7 linked regions of the Kluyveromyces lactis genome follow. The protein of the gene in region 1 purifies or fractionates together with the protein of each later gene. This does not show direct contact. Links are inferred from orthologs where the notes say so. Each region holds a gene or a part of one and is shown in the gene's direction. Other genes may lie near its edges.

Region 1 (2,688 bases):
TCATGCCGGTTTTTTTATCGTACTTGTCGTTTTGATAGAAAAGAAAAACATAAGACACTCGAAGTGATTTTTATTCCTTCGAGCGTGGACTTAGTCAGCCCGTAGTGGAAGTACATTTCCTACTGTTCACGCTGTAGCTCAACAAACGGCACAGTGTATTTACTATCTTCCTAGAATCACGTGAGCGAAGGGAAAAATATAACTTAAGAGTAGCATAATTCCAGTGCTGTCAGCGGTATCGCTCAGTGATTTGGAATTTAAATCGAGGAAAACGTCCTACAATTTAGGGACAGGCATGCGTTCACGGTTAAATCGTTCGAAATTTTTTCCGTCGTTCGAGCCGCCCCACTGGGATCTCTGTTGTAAGAAAAGACCGCCGATTTATGATAAAGGGCGGACTTTGCTCTGAGGTTCCTTCTCTGCCTTTTCAGCATTCTTCCTCTCGAGGGACCTTTTCCCATTTCTTTTTTTTCTTACTTGTTCTGTGTTGAGAACTTGAACCACAGTTGATCTCACGGTTGTTTCGAAACAGAGAGCGGCATAGATGGTACAAAGAATGGAGCCACGGCTGGTTTCGAAGGAAACACTGCTGTGGGCACACATTTCGAGACTCCTAAAGCCACCTCGAAAGCCAGTGTCAAAAGCCAAGATATAACGATTTCATGAGCTGATACGGAAAACTTTACTGCCGGTTAGAAGTGCTAGTTCCTGCAGCAGGTAGATAGGGGAAACTGCTTGAAAATTCGTCTCTGTATATACGATTCACATATAGACAGTCACAATTTGACTATTTGACTATTTAACTTGCTTCCCATTCTTTGGGTAACTTTCCGAAATGTTCCCATTTAATTCTGAAGAATCTTGCTGGGGTACACCATGCTGCAGCAACAGATCATCCCAGGTAAACGCCAACTTGCCAGTACCCTATTCGAGGTCAGCTTGTAATTGTAATTGTAATTGATCATCTACTTGTCTGAGTGTCAAACAGAAGATCTTGGTTTCACAGTTCACGTGACTGGAAGTGTTTCTTTTCGTTACAGAAAATTTTTTTGGCGAGGAAAAAAAAGTTCAGTGCGATGAGATGCGATGAGATGAAATTAAAGATTATGAATAAAGCTTTCAATGAGAGATGACCTTGGCTAATCTGAAGTATTAGGAGCATATAAGTTGTATTATATAGAGCTGGTTTGTGCTGAGATTAATAAACAGGGCAGTAATATAGAAGCAACAAATGTCACAACCATTGAACTCGAACCCAGAGGTTCTTTTAAGAAAGAGAAGAAATGCTGATCGTACTAGGTTGGAGAAGCAGGAGCTTGCCAAGAAGAGAAAGGAGCAAGAAGAGAAACAGAAACGTAGTAAGAAGAACAGATTTGTTAGAGCTGAGACGATAGTCGCCACAACTTTGGCTACTGAGAGAGAAAAGACCAGAATCAGAAGAGTCAGAGACTTAGAAAACCAAAAGGTCAAGAACGATTTGTCACATATCCCATCCGATAGGGATTTTATCTTGCGTATCTCTGAAAGAGAAGCCGGTAGTAAGGCTACATCCGAATCTGAGCTTCAAGATGTTGATGAGGAAGATGAAGAGGACGATGGGTTAATCAGGGAAAAAATCGTATACGATGGTGAGCCAAGCTTATTATTTGTTATAAGAGTGAAAGGACCCACAGCTGTGAAGATCCCAGCAAAGGCTTACAAAGTGTTATCTCTTTTGAGACTTGTTGAGTTGAACACTGGTGTTTTCATCAAACTTACCAAGGACGTGTACCCATTGTTGAAACTTGTATCACCATATATTGTTATCGGACAACCTTCACTTGCATCTATCCGTTCTTTAATCCAAAAGAGATCTAGAATAATGTGGCAAAGGCCAGAAGATAAAGAACCAAAAGAGATAATCTTGAATGACAACAATATCGTTGAAGAGAAATTAGGTGATGAAGGTGTCATTTGTATCGAGGATATCATCCATGAGATTTCGACGTTGGGCGAAAATTTCTCGAAATGTACTTTCTTCCTATTACCATTCAAATTGAACAGAGAAGTCAGTGGATTCGGTGCCATCTCCCGTTTGAATAAACTGAAAATGCGCGAACAAAACAAGAAGACTCGTCAAATTTCAAACGCTGCCACGGCTCCAGTTATCCAAGTAGATATCGACTCAATGATTTCCAAGTTGAATTGATTAACTATAAAAGGAAAATATCTGTACAATAGACATCGGGCTCCCATTGGCCCTACCCACATATGTAGAAATACATTACTCTATTCACTACTGCATTTAGTTATGTTTAACATTTGATATAGCAGACGCTACCGCCAGGCACAATATATTCCCCTTCCCTCTTGCCATTCGCTGTACTTGTGGTGGATTCCAATTCAGCGCAGTCACGTGCTAGTAATCACCGCATTTTTTTCTTTTCCTTTCAGGCTAAAACCGGTTCCGGGCCTGATCCCTGCACTCATTTTCTAACGGAAAACCTTCAGAAGCATAACTACCCATTCCAGTTTAGAGTCATGACAGGTTCAACATCAGATGCTTCATATACTTTTATATATTGAATTATATAAATATATCTATGTACTCTAAGTAAGTACATCTGCTTTAACGCATTCCTACATTTGCTTCGATTTATTTTTATTGTTGATACCTATTTGAAGAAGTAAAAAGTATCCCACACTACA
Region 2 (3,267 bases), on another chromosome or scaffold:
CCATTCATCGAAATGGCGTGTTGAATATGGAGACAACGTGCTAAATAAAAACGATTCTGCTATCAATTTCTTAACGAAGAAGTTAAACAGAATTTCTTCATTTTATGAAATTAGGGATCGTCAATTTTATGAATTGTTGAATCATCTAGCTCAGAATGAATTGGATGCACTCAATCAAAAAGTCGGTGATTTCTCAAATTTGAAAGACATTCATTGGTCCTCTGATTTGATTACCGTACCAACAGCTAATAATGCATTCAAGAAATTCGGATGGATTAAACTCGGCAATAAGAAATTAGACGGTCTATGGAAAGTGCAATCAGGCTTAGATTTAGCGAGAAAGTATTCAGAAAACAATAGACAAGATCCCTCAGAACTATATGACACTATAATATCCGAATACAAGGATAAAACTGAAAAAACTGATGGTGATGAAACCACTACTGATAATGTCATAGTAAAACAATGGCAGAATCTAAGATCTTTGAGGCCGAAATACTTGTTTGAGTTTAATAAGGTCAGCGAAAAAACTACTCTGGCGGGGTTCGCCAATGAAGAACTCATTAGGAATGATATCGAATCTAAGAAAAGACGGCTAGCCGAAAGAATAGAGTCAAAAAAGAAGAAACATTCCGAACAAGTCGCCGAGGCTGAACAGTTTTTCAAAGACAAGGAACAAGAAAGGAAAGATCTACTTCAAGCGAAGATAAAAAGTCAAAGAGAAACTCTGGAAAATGGAAAAAATGATAAAACAACTTCGCCTGATGATCAAGATAATGATTCACTAAAGAGAAGACACGATAGTCCAGAGGCTGACGGGAATGAAGAAGAACAAGCTGTTTCGAAGAAACAAAAACTTGAGGAAGAAGTTGAAGAACCAGATGCTGACGCTGAGGCTCAAAAGGAAAAAGCGCTTGAATCTGAACCAACAGAGCTTAAAACAATAGAAAGTACAGAAACAGAAGTAGAGGTGCCGAAAGAACATGAAGGAAGCTCCCACACGGAGTAGGCTAACAATACAGTAATATTTTTTCAGACATCCGTTCAAATATATAGCATATAATTCGATTGAAGAATCATTTATTTTATCAATTACAGATGTTACTTATCAATATCACACGATTCTAGACTATTCCTCTCCTAATTGACATTCGACAGCTATCTCCTTGTCTATTATGAATCGATATCCTTTACTTTGCTTCGAAAGTGAATGTTACCCGGAGAATAATCATATTTCTTTTTTTTTATGTCAATTTTTCATTTAGACAATCCGATGCCAATAAGATGAAAAAAAAAAAAAGAGATGAGATGCGATGCGATGAGATGAATTCAAGTACACAATTAATACTCGGGGACTGGCGTATCGTTTTACTAATCCTTACCATACTATTCAGGACAATCCACCTCAAACAAACAGACAAAATAGTTAGTTATGGCGGGATCTAAGGACAGACCAGCTCAGTACAAACAATCTTCTCGTAAAGGTAAGAAGGCATGGAGAAAGAATATTGATATAAGCGATGTGGAACGCAAGCTCGAAGAGAAGCAGATCCTTGAGACTACTCATGGTAAGCAGAATTTGACAGAACTTAGCGATGATGCGCTTTTTGCGGTTGATACTGAGGGTGACCAAGTTTTAAAGCAGAAATTAGTGAAGAGGAAAGCAATCAAGAAAACTCTGAAGTCAACCGAGATTTTGGAGTCTATCAAGTCTAAATCCAAAGTGCCTGCTCTAACCAACCCAAAGACTGCTAACAAGAAACATGATAAGATCCAAGGGGTATCAAAGAAAGAACTGGACAGATTACTTGCTTTAGCTGGTAAAAAAATTGGTGAAAGTAAGTTGAAAGCAAGAGTTGCAAAAGAAGGTCTTGTGAAGTCAGGATCCCTTGATTTATGGGGCGAAGATGCTGGTAAGGAGGTTAAAGTACCATCTGGACTGAAGCTTAAGATAGCACCAGAAGAAGTAGAGAAACTTCCAAATGGATTCTTAAAACAGTCTACAACTAGTTGGTCCGTCGCAACTGTTAAGCCGGATTCCATTGCTCGCGTGCCAGAAATTGTCAAAGAAAGAGATGTCATTCCACATGCAGGAAAGTCATATAATCCAAGCAAAGAAGAATGGGAGGCTCTTATAAGTACTGAATATGAGGGTGAGCTGATAAATGAACAGCGCAGGATAGCTTTAGAACAATATAAACAACGAATTCAACACTTGATGGATACTATTGAAGATAAGGAGGAAGAGGACTCCGATTCAGAAGAAGAAAATGAATCAGAACTTGATGATAAAGACCTTTCAGAAGAGGGAGAAGAGACTAAGTTGTCTCTGAATCCAGCAACTAAGAATAAAAAGAAAACGAAATATCAGAGAAATAAACAAAGAAGACACGAAGAAAAAGTCAAACTTCAGCAAGAATTAAAGAAATTGAAGGAAAAGGTTCTCAAACTTGAAAAATTAGAGGAAATTCAGCAGGAAGTGGAATCCACCGTCCCAAATCCGGTCTCTACAGCCGGAAAAGTTAAAAAGAACAAGAAGCATAAGCTTGGTACTAAACATTCCGTCATGGAAGACAATTTAGAGGTGAAATTCTCAGATGAACTATCAGATTCATTAAGAAAATTAAGACCAGAAGGTAATCTGCTATATGACACTGTGAGAGCATTACAAAGTTCTGGTAGGGTAGAATCTCGTATCCCTATTAGAAAAGGTAGAAGATATAAACCAAGAGTCACTGAGAAATGGACTTACAAGGACTTCAAATAGATTAATTTGCTCTTTTCTTTCTATACATCATTCCGTACCATTTGTACAATAAAATACACAGACGTACCTGTGCTTTTCTTGCATAATTTATATAGAGCAAAATATTAATAGATTCATTAACTCTGTGATTATATTATATAATAGTAATGAATACAATATCCGACACTTTTACTACTGATTGAACTACACACCAAGAATAGTTCATTTGACTTGGCAGATTTAAATTTTCAAACCAATTTTTCACACCAATGTCAACTTTGCCTGTAGTTCATCTCTCTGCCTTTCCCATTCTTTTACCTTTGTTAGCTTTTGGTTTAGGGTTTCAATCTCATTTTCGATTGATAAAATAGCTTCGTCTGACCCTAATGCCTGTAGGCTCCAATCAGTTCCGTTAGTCAATTCCAATAGGTAGTCATGGTATTTTATCAAAGACGGGCGTTGAGAGATGGATATGAAGTTGAATCTGTATCTCTTCAACATGGTAAAAAGATGATCTTCCA
Region 3 (3,077 bases), on another chromosome or scaffold:
TGATGTCAGAGTATACATTTTCGACACGTGAGTGTTACCATGTTTTATTAAACTTTTTACCCATTCAGACAGGGATAACTGTATAATTGAAAGGTTCTCATCATTATCAGAAGATAAAAAATTAAATTCATCCAAGGCTTCAATTGAGTAGAACAGAAGGGACGGGGAAAACCTCAATATATTCAATTGAAATAAAATGTGAAAAAATCTCACACATACTGTAATAAGCAATAGCAATTAATTCGTGCAACTTGAAACCGTCTTCGCCAATGAAAGCTGGTGTCTTATGCAATGGGAAGTTGCTGGTGAATTCCTTATTTTCAGCAGCAGTAACATCAACAACGTTGACGTCTACCTTGAAGTACTTAGCCAAAGCTTTAGCCAAGATACTTCTTGGGGAAGGAGGCAGAACAAATAAAGTGCTTTGAGCCATTATGAAATGATATCCAACAAAAAGATGCTTCTGTATGGACGTCCTTATGACCTGAACTGAATATTGAAAATCAAACTTGAACACACACTGCACAAACAAATAATTGTGTTCTGAATCGAAGTAACAAGAATGGAAAAAATTTACTATTAATCGTACCCATAACATATTTATACAAAGTAAATGTGAGAAGTTTTGAAAAAAAAAACTGAAGAAAAAAAAAAACTTGGAAAAACATAAAAATTTTGAATAGTCATTTTTCCTTATACGGGCTATTTTAACTGTAGTGATCAAGTAAGTAATTGAAAGGCCTTTAGAGCTTCTTCTTTTCACGTAGCGGCTGGAACAAAAAGAAATTTGTTTTGGATTTTCAATTTTTGGCTTCGAGAGATGAGCCGTGGGTAATGATTGGGGGCAAGTATCATTGGCTATGAGGGCATTGTCAAATGGCTAGAAGAATGATGGTGTACATGTGGCAACAATAAAATGGTTGAAGTCTGTTACTGTACAGTACTTCTGTACATTGTATATACAGAAGTCATCTTCCGCTCGTTTTGACTAAGGTCACGTGACTTATTTAAAGTGTATTCTTTTTTTTTTGTAATTTTCCCTGTAGAAAAGAAACCTCAAAGATTCACCATACGTGATATTCTCAAAACCGTATATAGAAAATTTTCAGCTCATCGCACCGGACAGGTACAGAGACTTAACTTGTTCTTACAGCAATGTACTTATCAGTACTAAGATTCGTTTAGTAAGAAGGATATTATTTACACAGCTCAGTTGTACCAATCCACCCTGACATGAGCAATTCTCTTGAAGAACGGTTGAAATCGAATTCTAGCGCCTTTGAAGGGCTACTTTCGTTGATACCTGCGAAATATTACTACGATGACAAGACACAGGAACAATGGAATGCCAAGAAGAAGAGCAAAGGGCAATTGAAGGAGGATAAGAAATCGAAATTGGATCCTGAGCAGCAGGACGATGAATCCAGCTCTGCCCTCGAAGTTATGAAGAAGAAACAAGCTCAGGCGAAAGCTGTGGTTTTACCAGGCCAAAAGAAGATCCAACGTGAACTACTAGACGCAGAGTCTGAAACATCGTCCGAAGATGATGAAGACGAAGAGGACGAAGAAGAGGACGAGGAGGAGCAAACCGAGGAACAAGAATCTGACGAAGTACCGGAAATAAACATTTCTCAAACTTTGGGCGAATCTGAGAGTATAGCGGTGATCTTTGATGATGATGGAAACCCAGTAGATCAGAACAAACAGAAGCAAGAGAAAGAGCGTATACAGAAAAAACAGGAGGCCATCGAACGTACCAAAGATGACTCTTCTCAGAAGAAGAAGAAGATGGAAGAATTACGCTGTAAACTACAGGAGAAAATCAAAGCTTTAAAGGAGAAAAGAAAAGCCCCAGGAACCAAGGTGGAAGGTGCGCCAAGTTCAAGAGAAGCTATTCTTGCTCAAAGAAAACGTAGACAAGAGGCAAGGGCCACCAAGTTAGATTCTGAAAAAGCTGGTGATGTGTCTTCTGATGATAGCGCAGATTCTGATTCGGACTCGGATGCAGAAGATGCTCACGTTTCCAAGAAACATCGTCGCAATGGTGATGAAGAGATTTCAGCCAAAGATGTTATGTTCCAAAGTATTCAATTCAATGACGGTACAAAGGCTACATCTGATTTATCGCATGTAAGAAAGGGTGAAAGAAAAAAGGGACCTGCCAAAAAGGACGTTAAAGCTCATTTAAGACTGCTAGAGACAAAGAAACAATCATTAGAATCAAGAGATGAATTGGATCAAATTAAACTGAAAGAGAAGGAAAAATGGCAAAAAGCCATGTTGCAAGCAGAAGGTATCAGGCTTAAAGATGATGAGAAACTACTTCGCAAAGCTTTGAAGCGTAAAGAGGCTAAGAAGCGTAAGTCGACCGTCGAATGGCGTGAACGTAAACAAGTGGTAGAAAACACTGTTGCCGAAAGACAGAAGAGAAGAGAGGAAAATCTACAGATTAGAAAGGACAATAAAGGTAAGAAGAAGAGCAAACAACAGAAGATGAAGAGAAAATTCAAGGGAACTGCCCATTTGAAGAAAAGAGCAGGATTTGAAGGACGTATGAAAAGTGTCAAGAAGAAATGAGCCTTAATCAACTAATATTCTCCATCCAACAAATAAAAGCATAATATCATATTTCATCCTTTCAAGTTATAGATTAACCTTTTACTTTTACTTTTGCATCTCTATTTTTATATACTGACACCCAATGATATATAAAAATAAATATAATCAAACCCAGAATGTAATAATGCATAAAATCTCTATTACCATGTAGTCTTTAATAATGGATTTCAGAAGCCAATGTGCGGTTATTTCTTTTCATTCATTTTAAACTGCGTTCGAAAAATCATGAAAATGGTTCAGACGCAATAGTATAGATGAAATAAGGTATCTCGATGAGATGAGGTTGAAGAGGTTCACTCCAGCGAAACAAGGCAACGTTGCAGAAGAGAAAGATTCTATATTGCATAATGCTGAATGTGATAACCTGTCGAAGTCGATTAAGTTTACTCGTTACACCAAGACAACTTCGATATATACGAACCAAAAGTTTATCAAATACTATCTCCACTATAAAGAAA
Region 4 (4,004 bases), on another chromosome or scaffold:
GTGTCAAGAAATCCAATTTTGACTCAAGTGCTCGGAGCGCAGGAACTATCGTCTAAAGAAGTCCTTTATTATTTGAAGAAGCTTTCTGAACGCAGAAAAGCTGAATTCAGTCGTATAAAAGCTACGCATGGAATCGATGGAGAAGACTTACACAAAACTGAGAAAGACAAGAAACGTTCCCTGGATGAAATTGATGGATATAGTCTTGAAAAGGATCCATATAGACCAAGAAATTTACATTTATTACCCACCACAGCTTCTCTGCTTTCAAAAGTCAGCGATCATCCTGAAAATTTGGATGATGTTGATGATGCAGAATTGGATTCTCACTTGTTAGATGAAGAAGCTTCCAAATTGAAAGAACGTATTTGGATTGATATCAACGGTGATTACTTGATTGAACAAGAATCAAAAAGACTCAAACAGGAAGCAGATTTGGCCAGTGGGAATACTTCGCTACGAAAAAAACGCAGCAAACGTACTAATAGAAACCAATCCAGTGCAAGCATCGTCAAAGTTCAAGTCGACGGACTACCGCTTGATGTTTCCGTGGATGACGCTGATGCTGTAGATGTTGTCGCAGCTGGAGGTGTCAAGAATCTATTACAAAAGACGACTTTCTCAAAGAAGATCAATTACGATGCTATTAACGGTCTCTTTGGACAAAAATAGTTTCTACGTCGTCACTGTTTCTCTTCTCTTGTACGATATCCATCAGATCAAACTCAAGAAAATTATATGAATACCAACTGCTATTTACATATCGTTACTTGATACAGATGTCTGTTTTTGCTCTTTTTTATTTTAATATTTTACACTAAATTGGTGTATCAATTTCATTTCGATTATATTTTTGGAACTATATTTAAACGGCGTACATAATTTATAAACATTGCAAACAAATATTCGTTTGGTGTGGACTATTATTCATTTATGGAACACAATAATAAGCTACCATCAGTATACCATTTTGCCTATTCAGATATTAAAGAGCCTTAAACCCACTTTTTGCCTCTGGTTTCTTCTTTCCGTACCGTGAGTGAAAAGAAATTTTTTAGAAGGAAGAAAATTTTGAGATGAGATGCGATGAGATAGAACCTATGTATGAACAAAGTATATCACTCCGAGACAACTAAAGTTGCCTAACACTATTCGAACTTGTGCAAATCAACTAAGTATTTCCGAACAGTGAAAAGGAATCACATAATCAAATAAGAAACAAATATGGTTAGGAGATCTCGTGCTGCTATTCTACCGACAAACATTATTCTCTTGCAGAACCTTGTTAAGCGTGATCCTGAATCCTATCGTGAAGAGTTTCTACAGCAATATGCTCACTACCAATCATTAAGAGACATTTTCATGTTAAATTCGGTCAACAACGAGAGCACTGATGAAAGTGCAATGGCTGAGTTTATGGGAGCAATTGGATTTGTATCTCAAGTTTGTTCCTGTTATCCTCGTGAAACGGCAAACTTCCCAAACGAATTGAAACAGTTAGTATTAGATCACCACAAATCGCTTCCGTTTGACGTGAAAGAAAAGATTATCACCAGTCTAACTATGTTGAGAAATAAGAACGTTATCAGCCCTGAGACTTTGATTCAAACTATGTTCCCATTGCTTATTGCATACTCTTCCCCTAGTAATTCGATGGTCCAGAATTCTCACGCCAAAGAGCTAAGAACTTTAATCTACAACACTCTAGTACAGTTGATGAAATCTTGTAACACCAGTGGTAAGAACCAAAAATTAAACAAATCTACCCATGCGTTGTGTTTCAATTTGTTGGAACAGCCAGATTCTCAAGGTATATGGGCATCGAAATTGACAAGAGAGTTATGGAGAAGAGGTATCTGGGACGATTCAAGATCGGTTGAAATTATGACCCATGCTGCACTACATAACGATGTTAAAATTGCATACAGTGGTGTCTTGTTCTTTTTGGATGCTGATAAAGAGCGTGAAGAAGCGTTTGAAGAAAACGACGATGAGGATGAAATCGATACTACCGCTTTGAAGCACAAGCTCCAGATCAACAAGAAATCTAGTAAAAGAGGTAAGAAGCTAGAGCAAGCACTTAAGGTCGTAAAGAAGAAATCTGCTAAAGGTGTTCAACAGAATAATTTCTTAAATTTCAGTGCCATCCATCTATTACGTGATCCACAAGGGTTTGCCGAGAAATTGTTTGAAAGACATCTAAGTGGTAAGAATTCGAACAAATTTGATTTCGAACAAAAGACTGCCATCATGCAATTATTATCCCGTTTAACAGGTACACACAAGTTAATGGTTCTTGGACTATATTCATACTTCTTAAAATACCTGACGCCAAAGCAAAGGGACGTTACCAAGATTCTATCTGCTGCAGCCCAATCCTGTCATGATCTTGTTCCTCCAGAGACCATTGAAGTGATGGTGAGGAAGATAGCCAACGAGTTTGTTAGCGACGGTGTTTCAAATGAGGTTGCCACTGTGGGTTTGAATACAGTCAGAGAAATCTTGACTCGTGCCCCATTAGCTATCGATGAGACTTTACTACAAGATTTAACCGAATATAAGGGCTCCAAGGCCAAGAGTGTCGCCATTGCTGCTAAGGGTTTGATTGCATTATACAGAGAAGTTGCTCCGGAGATGTTAAAGAAGAAAGATCGTGGTAAGACCGCTTCTATGGGACTACAGGACGACAAACGCAATGGCAGGGAATCCAAACGTGTCAAGTTTGGTGTCGAGACTACTAATGTACAAGGTATAGATGGTATTGAGTTACTAGCGAAGTGGAAGCGTGAGAACGGAAACGAGGAGGATGATGATGATGAGGCTGCATGGGATTTGAACAACCGGGATGAATTATCAGATGCTTCGGATGTAGAAGGTGAGTGGGTGACGATAGAAAGCGATAAAGAGTACGAAGTTGACATGGACTCTGACGATGAGGAAAGCAAGAACAAAACAGGTCATAAGGGTAAGAAACGTTCCCACGATGAAGTCGAACCGGAAGCTGGTGAAGATAGTGATTTAGAATTATCCGGTGATGAAGAAGAACCAAAGGTGGGAGAAGAGCAGAAGGAAGAAAGTGAATCCGCTGACCCAGAAGAAGCTTTCCGTGAATTAGCATCCAGTCGTATCTTAACACCAGCCGATTTCGCTAAACTTCAAGAACTACGTACTGAAAAGGGTGTTACTAAACTTATGGGGATCAACAACGAAGAAACTATTGAGCATTACAAGCTTATGGGTCCAGCCAAGCACAAGAAACAGAACAAAGAGGAAAGAATGGCATCTATTATGGAAGGTCGTGAAGACCGTGAAAAATACGGAAGTAAGCGTGGTAAGCGTGACAGTTCAATGAGATCAACTACAAATAAAGAGAAATCTAGAAAGAAGAACTTTGTGATGATGATCCATAAGAGATCTGTGAAGGGTAAGCAAAAAATGTCGCTTCGTGACAAACAAAAGGTCTTGCGTGCTCATATCACGAAGCAAAAGAAGAAAGGTAATTAAACTAGATGGCATGGCAAAAGTAGTTATATTAATTATAGGCACTTGTAGACACAGCATATAAAAGATAGAAAAAAAAGACACGTCAGTGTCACGTGACCAACTCATTTTCTCCATTTAGCCCAGTTTTGAAGTTGTCCTTTCAGCCAATGTGATATCACCATCCGAGACCACTTGTCTGCTGCTCATATCCCAGGTCAAAAAGGACTATTAACACGGCTTAACGGTGTGCCAACGGTTTTGGACCGAGAAGGACATGATCTAACAGGGAAAAAAAAAACTCGAAAAGAAAAAGAGACCACTACAGGATGTTTGAGGAACTTCAGCTTGAATGGAAATCTCGACACTATCAGCTATATTCATGCGTCGGCATTAAGCCTTCTTCGCATCACGGGCTGTGGCCCGTGATGCTGGCCCGCACTAAATGGGGCCGGGAAGGCATATGTTCCAACGCGTTACTCTCGAGGGAACGATTTACTACTGCCTAGACTAGCTCGTCTCAG
Region 5 (3,289 bases), on another chromosome or scaffold:
TCTTCTTGCTGGCTAACTTTACCCTTCAAATCCAATTCCTTGAACTTTCTCAATGCGGACATACCGAAGGCACCTTCTTCTTCATCATCCCCAGTTGATGCTACCAATTTGCCAGCACTCTTAACTGGGCTATCCAAAATCTTGGACACTTCCCAACCCCTTGAACCTTCGCTGTACAAAACAGGATGATTTGAGAAACCAGCTGCTAAAATTTCATGATCATTGATCCAACATAAGGTGATGAATGGAAGACCTTCTGGGTTGTCTACACTCTTAATATCGTCAGTGTAATCAGTGATATTCAAGGAACCATCGTGGGTGACAAATGCGACCTTATCGATGGAAGATCTCCATTTGATATCGTGGATCCAGGCACCCTGGTACCATTCTCTAACCAAAGAACCAAATGGGAATTTCTCACCCCATGGAGAGCCAGCAACTTGTTCCTTGGTATCCAATCCCTTAATGAAACCGGAAAACACACGAGCGTAACCATCAGTACCACCACATGCCAAAAGGACACAATTTGAGTGCCATGACAAGGCATTGATAGTGGACTTGATAGGTTTTTTGATGTGCTTGGAAACCCACCAATCATTCTCCTGCTCGTAGTAGCACACAGCAATGATTCTAGCACTAGAACCGACTGCAAACTTGTAACCGGATGAAGCCCATGAAACACAGGTTGCGGCCCTGTTAATTCTCAATAAGACTAAAGTTGGCTTATAAGTACCATTAGATAAGGGCTCCCACACAATGGCATTACGATCTTGTGAACAAGTTACAATACGACCGTGAACAGAAATATCAACAGCAGTAACAGTCTTGTCGTGATCTGGTAGTACTGCTACCAATTGAGGTTGCTTTGCAGCAGAGACTTTGTAAACGTAACAATCAGTATCATAGGTGATTGCCAAAAGGCTTCTGTCCTGATTGAAACAGTGAGAATAAATAGATCCTTTGACCAATTTGAATTGAGCAGCGATATCAGACATTAGGAGACTCTCGACTAATGAACTGTTCGATTAATTAACGTAGATTCAGAAGAATGCACAATCATTTTACCCTTATTAAAGTGGGATGCACATATAGATTATCTGAGTAATAATGAACGATTTTCAACTTCTTAATATTTCTTCACTTGCACGAATGCCCCTATACAGACTAATACCTTTAACAAACGGTGTATATTTTCATCATTGACCAGTGCTGGAATTTACACGATCCTGATGTACCTAAAAATAATCCATAAGCCTGGTTCACATTGAGAGCGAAAGGTTGTCATGGGTTTAACCGTCATCCTGCCATCTTTACCTTTTGATATCAGTCACGTGATTTTGTATTCCCGGATAGTTTCTTTTGAAAAATTTTAGAGCTCATCGCATCATTGGCATAAGAACACTGGCGATGAGGTACGATATATATAAGAGTACTTGCCGTTGAGACTCCGTCTAGAAATACCAGGACGTGAACTAACAATGAGAGTTTTATTGGCGAGTGATGATAGTGGCTCATTGAAAGAAATTATTTTCAACAGAGGCACAAACACCTCAATTAAGACTGCACTACAGCCTTTCCATATTGACATTCATTTAAACCAAGGTTTGTCCAACAGAATTGATAAGATATATCATGTTTCTGATTCTCTGTTACTCTTAGCAAGACATAGTGGTAGTTTAGAACTTGTGTCAAGTAAGAGGGTTTCTAAGGATGTTGATGAAACAAATGAGCCGAAATATGATGTGACAGAATTTGAACTTCAAGATCTAATATCGGGACTTTTTGACCAGTCAGTGTTGGATACACTTAGTTCGAAATCAAAGAAGAAAAGTAAGATCGAGGATCAATTTGTGGAACTATATTTGATTAAGAAATCGGCTAAAAACCCCATCTTCTTGGCAGCAACGAAATCTGGAAATGTGACCATCATCGAAGTTGATTTGCATTCAACTAAGATCTCCAAGATAGCTTCTCATAAAATAAAGGCGCCTGTAGAGTTTGTTACACTTTATGATTTAGATAAATCTGATAAGTTCGTTATGGCATACGGTGGAGAGGAAAATCTAGTTAGGTTGATCGAGTTATCATCCGATTTCAAAGAAATTTCTGATATATGGGCTGCTAAAAATGTTCCCTTTGACAACATTGGGTTAAGAGTTCCTGCATGGGATGTTGCTTTGAGATTCTTAGAATCAGAAAAGAACGGGGTTTATAATTTCATTACAATTACGAAATATGCTCAATTAAGAAAGTATTCCACCAACGCTGAAGATTGTAGACCTGTGAAATCTATTACTCTTCTACCCAAAGGTGAGCAATTGAATTCTTGCAAAATTATAGGCGACACATCCCCACTGGGTAACTTTCAAAGTTCTAACTTTGACGAGCTTGAATTCTTAGCAGCAGACTCCAGAAAAGATGTGTACCAATTCAACGGCAAGGGACGCTTGTTGAGAAAGATTGCCAAGGGCGACATTACTGGTTTTGCATCTTGCATTGCTGTTACCGATAAATACTTACTTCAAGGTGGTTTGGACAGGTATGTTCGTATCTTTGATTTAGCCGATTATAAGCTCCTGGCAAAGATATTCACAGGCGGTAAGGTTTCTGATATTATACTCTTAGAAGACAATGACTTGGAATTACCTTTAACTGAAAAGCAATTGAAAATGAAGAAGAAGAAGGAAGCCAAAAGAAGCATCGTCGAAGCTGATGAAGATGCTGAAAATGAGGATCTTTGGAATAAATTAGAATCCAAGAAAAGGAAAGTTTCGAAGAATGATATTTAAAGTAAATGCATTTCATAATATCTACAGATAAATAGGAAGATACAGGATAATCGACTTCAATTTTCGTAAATGTATCTATACTGGTCTAATGTTCATCATAAAACACCACTTTTAGCTAACTTTTTATCGTGTCCCGCTTTTCTATTATGATTAGCACGACTTGATTTTAGTTTCTCGTTACGAGCATTTTTTCTCTTTTGTTGTTCTTTGGTAAGAGGTTCTTTGGTAGTAGGTGTTTTCTCTCTGCCAGAATCATTATTACTGTTAGTGTTAGGTGAATTTACGGTGCTGTCAACTACATGATGATCAAAACCTTCTTTATCCTCTCGTGCTTTTGTAAACGTCTTCTTGCCTTGCCGAACGTTCCCTTTGAAAATATACTTTTCTTCTAGCAGTTGTGCCCTCTTTGGACTCTTCTCAATCATTCTTGACCAACCTTCAATTTGTTCGTCAGACCAGTTAGTCTCTTTCTTCATTTCTTTCCGCTGTTTCGAGCCCCG
Region 6 (3,450 bases), on another chromosome or scaffold:
AGCGTAGCTTTATCGGAAGTGGTAGCTTTGGTACTGTATATTCCGCTGTTAACCTAGATACTGGTGATATTTTAGCGGTAAAAGAGATCAAAATCCAAGATGCTAAATCCATGAAGCAAATTTTCCCATCTCTCAAAGAAGAAATGCGCGTCATGGAGATCTTAAATCACCCGAATATTGTTCAGTACTATGGTGTGGAAGTTCACAGAGACAAGGTTAATATCTTTATGGAATTCTGCGAGGGTTCCTCCTTAGCCAGTTTACTCGAACATGGCCGGATTGAAGATGAAATGGTAACTCAAGTTTACACACTACAATTACTTGAGGGATTGGCATGTTTGCACCAATCTGGAGTTGTGCACAGAGATATCAAACCGGAGAATATCTTATTGGATCGTAATGGCGTTATCAAATATGTAGATTTTGGTGCCGCAAAACTCATTGCAAAGAACGGATCAAAGAGGATATCACTGGATGCCAATAACAAATCTACAGGCGGGAAAGATATGATCGGAACACCGATGTATATGGCACCAGAAACGGTGACTGGTCAAGGACACGGAAAATTCGGATCCGATGATATATGGTCTTTAGGTTGTGTTGTACTGGAAATGGTGACCGGTAGACGTCCATGGGCTAACTTAGACAATGAATGGGCTATCATGTATCATGTTGCAGCTGGTCACCTTCCGCAATTCCCAACCAAGTCTGAAATTTCATCTGCGGGTAGAAAGTTCATAAGCAGATGCTTAATACAAGATGCCAATAAAAGAGCAACTGCAATGGAATTGTTACTTGATCCCTGGATTTCTCAAATACGTAACATTGCATTTGGTGGCAATGCAGAATCTTTTAATAATGAAACTCATAACTAGTTCTGATAGACATAAAAGTTTCCTCCCCATGACGATCATATGTAACAATTGTAACCATAGATTTTTTTTTTGTATAAGTATTGTATGTATATATAATAATAATAGGAACTTTTGTTTGACTTTTTTTTAAACAATGCCGGATCCGTATAGTATCAATGTAACATGCACTTTCCGTTATCTGTGAGTTGCTTGCCAGTAAGTAAATTGCAGTCTAGGAATTTTTTGTGCCTGATGCTCCCCATAAGGTATTCAGAGCATAGTTTCAACATAATAAAGATTTATATTACCCGGAAGTGGTGAACTAAAAGAAATTCTTAAGTTCAAGAAAATCTTTTGAGATGCCGATGAGATGAGATGAGATGAGCTTCAACTACCAAGTCGACTTCCCTAAAAAGGAGAAGGTTCTGGTGAACGATATTAGTATTCCAGCAATAATCACAGGTCTTTTCTCGAAAGAAGTTTTTAGGTAATTAAACGAGCCCAAAATAATTCTCTGAATTTGTTAGGCCAAGCAATCCAAACGAAACATGGCAACCTTACTCCCACCGCCTTCAAAGAAGCAAAGAAGAGAAGCTCAAGCTGAACGTGGAGTTGACCTTATTCCCAAAGACCTTCCAAATGTTCTCATTAAATTCCAAGCTTTTGACAGTGGTGAAACTGTTGGAGGTTCTCTAAGGGTTCCAGGTGGTATTTCGGAGCAGCAACTGGAGGAATTGTTGAATCAGTTAAATGGAGACTCGGCAGATCCTGTTCCATACACGTTTAGCTGTTTAGTTAGCAACAAAAAGAAGGATGCAGATGAGGAAATGGTAGATATTAGAGATAATCTATATCAATCCATTTTAAAACCAGGTTTGAAAACTACCGAAGATTTTTTGACTCTAGTGTATACCCCAAGAGCTATCTTCAAAGTAAAACCAGTAACTCGGTCGTCTTCTGCAATTGCTGGTCATGGCTCGACAATTTTGTGTTCTGCATTTGCTCCAAATACAAGCTCCAGGATGGTTACCGGTGCTGGTGACAATACTGCATGTATCTGGGATTGTGACACTCAAACGCGTATGTGCACGTTACAAGGCCATCACAACTGGGTCCTATGTTGTTCCTGGTCTCCAGATGGTGAATTAATCGCCACAGGTTCTATGGACAACACAATTAGATTATGGGAATCAAGCAAAGGTAAGCCTTATGGTGATGCTTTAAGAGGTCACTCGAAATGGATTACCTCCTTATCTTGGGAACCAATCCATCTTGTCAAACCTGGTGACAAACCGAGATTAGCAACTGCATCCAAGGATGGAACTATCAAAATCTGGGATACAACAAGAAGAGTTTGCCTTTTAACCTTATGTGGCCATACGTCTTCTGTTTCCTGTGTCAAGTGGGGTGGAAAAAATGTTCTATACAGTGGTTCTCACGATAAAACAATCAGATGCTGGGACATGAATTTGAACGGTAAATGTATCAATATCCTAAAATCACACGCCCATTGGGTTAATCATCTTTCACTTTCAACAGATTATGCATTAAGACTCGGTGCGTTCGATCACAAGGGCGAAACTCCTGCTTCACCTGAAGAAGCCCAACAGAAGGCTCTGAAAAATTACGAAAAAGTTGCTAAAAGAAAAGGTGACTTCGAAGAACTGATGGTAACTGCCAGTGACGATTTTACTATGTATCTGTGGAACCCCTTGAAGTCTACTAAACCTATTACCAGAATGACCGGCCACCAAAAGCTCGTCAACCACGTTGCATTTTCGCCAGATGGCCGTTACATTGTTTCTGCATCCTTTGACAACTCCATTAAATTATGGGATGGAAGGGATGGTAAATTCCTATCCACCTTTAGAGGACATGTAGCGAGTGTCTACCAAGTAGCTTGGTCAAGCGACTGTAGACTACTCGTTTCTTGTTCCAAAGATACCACTTTAAAAGTCTGGGATGTCAAAACTAGAAAACTGTCCGTCGATCTACCCGGTCATCAAGATGAAGTCTACACTGTAGATTGGTCTGTAGACGGTAAACGTGTATGTAGCGGTGGGAAAGATAAAATGGTCAGGATATGGACTCATTGAGTGGATCCACTGCATCTGAATAATTAGCATGATTAAATTATAGACTGCCTTATGTATGTTATAGCTTCTTTTACATTTATTATGAGGTGCACAGGTGTCCCTTCTTCTTACAAGCTGAAAATTTTGAAAAATTAAAGCTTCAAGCATAGTTGAAAAGATGAAGAACGATTCAGCCGGCATTTACCATAGGAAATCGATAAGTTATCTATATAGTAAGAAAGGTGTACACCGGGAAAACCTGCATAACCACACAACAGCCTACTAATAATACAACGGCTAGTTAATAATGCTTACAAGAGTTACAAGAAGTTTTGCGGCTATGAGCCCAAGATCATTTCGGATTTGTACTAGACTACAATCAACCCAAGCACAGCAACCACAACAACAGGAAAACTCAGAAATTGAGCTTTTAAATGAACTTAAATCAGAAATGGACAAATTGGGACCATTATCTGATGCCGAAAGTGCCGAACTCAGTGCTTTATTTGACAGTCAAAGTC
Region 7 (2,632 bases), on another chromosome or scaffold:
ACCATTGCCTTCTTCGTTTTCTACTATCCTATTGGTTTCTACAACAATGCGTCATATGCCGGTCAATTAAACGAAAGAGGTGTGTTATTCTGGTTATTCTCTGTTTCCTTCTACGTATTTATCAGTTCAATGGGTCAATTGTGTATTGCAGGTCTTCAGTATGCTGAGGCTGCAGGTAATATGGCATCATTAATGTTCACTATGTCCTTGAATTTCTGTGGTGTGTTTGGTGGTTCTGGTGTTTTGCCAGGGTTCTGGATTTTCATGTACCGTATTTCACCGCTAACTTACTTTATTGATGGTGTACTCTCAACTGGTCTTGCAAACAACCCTGTAACATGCGCAAACTATGAATACGTCAGCTTTAATCCAAGGAGTGGAGAAACCTGTGGTGAGTACATGGCGGACTATATTGACAAGAATGGTGGTTATCTACTAGATTCAAATGCTACGGAAGATTGTAATTTCTGTAAGATTTCTGAAACAAACGCATTTTTGACAAGTTTCCAATCTTCGTACCATAGAAGATGGAGAAATTTCGGTATTTTCATAGTCTTCATTGTGTTCAACTGGTGCGGTTGTGTTTTCCTATACTGGTTGGCTAGAGTTCCAAAGAAGAAGAACAGAGTGGCTGATGAGAGAGACCCAGATCATGGCAAGAAAATTGAAAATGTTCAAAAGGAAAAGGTTGAACCTCAATCCAATGAACAAGTTTAAGGATTTTTGCTTTTTGGCCAATTTTTACGTCGTTTACTTCTGTTTTTTTTTAACTATTAAACTTCATTTCTTATCGTGGGCTTGCGTTCTGCTTTAATATTTTGTTTATTCTGTATATATAGACCTGAATTGATATCTGGTTTCCCCATATATTACTATGGAAACCAAAAAAAGAAACTTCGATTGCATATAAAGTCCCAATATAACTCGATTGCAAGTACGAAAATTATTCAATTTTAGCATGGATCTCTGTTGTGGATGGTCGTTGAGGTAATCAAGATCCTTTGATGGGATATTCGTCAGCTCACCCTTCCTACAATGATTGCAGCGACGAATGTGAACTCTTTTCTTTTTATCGAAAATTAGCTTTCCAAAATTTTGAAAGTTTTTGTATTGATCAGATGAGATGAGATGAGATGAGATGAGGCTAACAAGATAGAAGTTGAATATAGTGGAACATAGCTAGTTATGTAGCTTATTCTAGGTCAAATAGCGAGGGTGCATAACAGCAAATCGGACGATACTATAATTTCAAAATGGCAGTGGATGAACTCAGAATAAAAAACAAGCAGAAGAGGCAAAAACTCTTTGCTGAGTTGAAGGATCAGCACAATAAGGAGCGTCATTCTATGAGGAGGACCAGAGCCAAGGAAGAACGTGAGAATCCGGAATTGAAGGAAAAAAGACTTGCTGAAAATGTTCCTGACACAATTGATAACCTCAGAGTTTACGATGAAACGATGGGTCAAGAAGTCGAAGGTGAAATGGATGATTTTATGAAATTTTTCAACGGTACCGAACCACCAAAGATTCTATTAACAACTAATGTAAACGCCAAAAAGAAGGCATATGAGTTCGCTAATATCCTGATCGAAGTTTTCCCTAATGTGACTTTCGTGAAGAGGAAATTTGGATACAAGCTGAAGGAAATCTCTGAATTCTGTAATAACAGGAACTATACAGATATCGTGATAATAAATGAAGATAAGAAGAAAGTAACGGGGCTTACATTTATTCATCTTCCAGAGGGGCCAACCTTTTATTTCAAAATAAGTTCTTTCGTCGAAGTCGAAAAGATCGTGGGCCATGGTAGACCAACTAGCCATATTCCAGAGTTAATCTTGAACAATTTCAACACCAGACTTGGTAAAACTGTGGGTAAACTATTCCAATCTATTTTCCCTAAGAACCCTGATTTCGAAGGTAGACAAGTGATAACGCTGCATAATCAAAGAGATTACATCTTCTTCCGCAGACACCGTTACGTTTTCAGGAACGAAGAGAAAGTAGGTCTTCAAGAACTTGGGCCCCAATTTACTATGAAACTCAAAAGACTACAAAGAGGTATCAAAGAGGAAACAGAATGGGAACACAAACCTTCAATGGACAAAGAAAAGAAGAAGTTCAATCTATGATATATTTGCATATATTTATATACAAATTCAAAGCCACCTGTGTACTAGTCCTGCACTTGGAGATTTATCAAAGATTTGACGGTATTATCATCACTACTCACGAGGCTGACGAAAAGTGGTGGCAAAATGAGAAATTCCTTGGCTTTAAAGAAAACAGGGCATTGAAACCTTTAAAGGATTTGGAATGTTTTGGGCTTAAATGAGTACAAGCCCACTGTTGAAAAGATTAATTGAAACAAACGGTTACTCTGTTGATCTGAAGAGGTGGTACACTAATTGCTCTTTAGGATTGTCATATTCTTGGTCATTATATTTGATCGATTGCAATCTAAGAAAAAGTATTTTTTCAGGCTGTTTGTTATTGTTGTTTTATTGGAAAGGAATTATTAACACGATCGATCACTGGGAAAGTAAACACTGACAGTAAAAACACTAAGCCACTTTACTCTTTTTTTTGTACACTGTTGCTATTACCTCTCTTTTGTTTTCAGCATCTTAAC

What was found.
Region 2: the proteins of RLP7 (region 1) and NOP53 purify together in Saccharomyces cerevisiae (affinity purification with mass spectrometry; 3 studies listed by BioGRID). This does not show direct contact. The link is inferred for Kluyveromyces lactis from reciprocal best matches to the Saccharomyces cerevisiae genes RLP7 and NOP53.
Region 3: the proteins of RLP7 (region 1) and RRP14 purify together in Saccharomyces cerevisiae (affinity purification with mass spectrometry; 3 studies listed by BioGRID). This does not show direct contact. The link is inferred for Kluyveromyces lactis from reciprocal best matches to the Saccharomyces cerevisiae genes RLP7 and RRP14.
Region 4: the proteins of RLP7 (region 1) and SDA1 purify together in Saccharomyces cerevisiae (affinity purification with mass spectrometry; 4 studies listed by BioGRID, with this or other methods). This does not show direct contact. The link is inferred for Kluyveromyces lactis from reciprocal best matches to the Saccharomyces cerevisiae genes RLP7 and SDA1.
Region 5: the proteins of RLP7 (region 1) and NSA1 purify together in Saccharomyces cerevisiae (affinity purification with mass spectrometry; 4 studies listed by BioGRID). This does not show direct contact. The link is inferred for Kluyveromyces lactis from reciprocal best matches to the Saccharomyces cerevisiae genes RLP7 and NSA1.
Region 6: the proteins of RLP7 (region 1) and RSA4 purify together in Saccharomyces cerevisiae (affinity purification with mass spectrometry; 3 studies listed by BioGRID). This does not show direct contact. The link is inferred for Kluyveromyces lactis from reciprocal best matches to the Saccharomyces cerevisiae genes RLP7 and RSA4.
Region 7: the proteins of RLP7 (region 1) and RPF1 purify together in Saccharomyces cerevisiae (affinity purification with mass spectrometry; 4 studies listed by BioGRID, with this or other methods). This does not show direct contact. The link is inferred for Kluyveromyces lactis from reciprocal best matches to the Saccharomyces cerevisiae genes RLP7 and RPF1.

The regions. Positions count from the first base shown.
Region 1 is NC_006040.1:418,204-420,891, forward strand, and holds RLP7 (Rlp7p), read left to right. Parts: upstream 1-1,231; coding exon 1,232-2,188; downstream 2,189-2,688. UniProt on the Saccharomyces cerevisiae protein: Involved in the biogenesis of the 60S ribosomal subunit. May act as a specificity factor that binds precursor rRNAs and tethers the enzymes that carry out the early 5' to 3' exonucleolytic reactions that generate the mature rRNAs.
Region 2 is NC_006042.1:1,055,269-1,058,535, reverse strand, and holds NOP53 (Nop53p), read left to right. Parts: upstream 1-1,432; coding exon 1,433-2,767; downstream 2,768-3,267. Other genes in the region: HPR1 (Hpr1p), read left to right, coding at 1-1,009; ATP-binding cassette long-chain fatty acid transporter PXA1, read right to left, coding at 3,008-3,267. UniProt on the Saccharomyces cerevisiae protein: Late-acting factor in the nuclear maturation of 60S ribosomal subunits, which is required for normal acquisition of export competence. Required for the export of the large subunit.
Region 3 is NC_006042.1:2,415,765-2,418,841, reverse strand, and holds RRP14 (ribosome biosynthesis protein RRP14), read left to right. Parts: upstream 1-1,233; coding exon 1,234-2,577; downstream 2,578-3,077. Other genes in the region: TEF4 (translation elongation factor EF1B gamma), read right to left, coding at 220-598; SOV1 (Sov1p), read left to right, coding at 2,967-3,077. UniProt on the Saccharomyces cerevisiae protein: Involved in ribosome biogenesis and cell polarity. Required for the synthesis of both 40S and 60S ribosomal subunits and may also play some direct role in correct positioning of the mitotic spindle during mitosis.
Region 4 is NC_006037.1:498,873-502,876, forward strand, and holds SDA1 (Sda1p), read left to right. Parts: upstream 1-1,224; coding exon 1,225-3,504; downstream 3,505-4,004. Other genes in the region: transcription factor TFIIIB subunit BRF1, read left to right, coding at 1-672.
Region 5 is NC_006042.1:976,198-979,486, reverse strand, and holds NSA1 (ribosome biosynthesis protein NSA1), read left to right. Parts: upstream 1-1,478; coding exon 1,479-2,789; downstream 2,790-3,289. Other genes in the region: ARC40 (Arc40p), read right to left, coding at 1-995; CUE3 (Cue3p), read right to left, coding at 2,885-3,289. UniProt on the Saccharomyces cerevisiae protein: Involved in the biogenesis of the 60S ribosomal subunit.
Region 6 is NC_006039.1:748,335-751,784, forward strand, and holds RSA4 (Rsa4p), read left to right. Parts: upstream 1-1,402; coding exon 1,403-2,950; downstream 2,951-3,450. Other genes in the region: mitogen-activated protein kinase kinase kinase SSK2, read left to right, coding at 1-875; IMG2 (mitochondrial 54S ribosomal protein mL49), read left to right, coding at 3,237-3,450. UniProt on the Saccharomyces cerevisiae protein: Involved in ribosome biogenesis. Required for processing and efficient intra-nuclear transport of pre-60S ribosomal subunits.
Region 7 is NC_006042.1:2,012,237-2,014,868, reverse strand, and holds RPF1 (rRNA-binding ribosome biosynthesis protein RPF1), read left to right. Parts: upstream 1-1,253; coding exon 1,254-2,132; downstream 2,133-2,632. Other genes in the region: KLLA0_F21692g (pleiotropic drug resistance family ABC transporter), read left to right, coding at 1-717. UniProt on the Saccharomyces cerevisiae protein: Essential protein. Required for biogenesis of the 60S ribosomal subunit.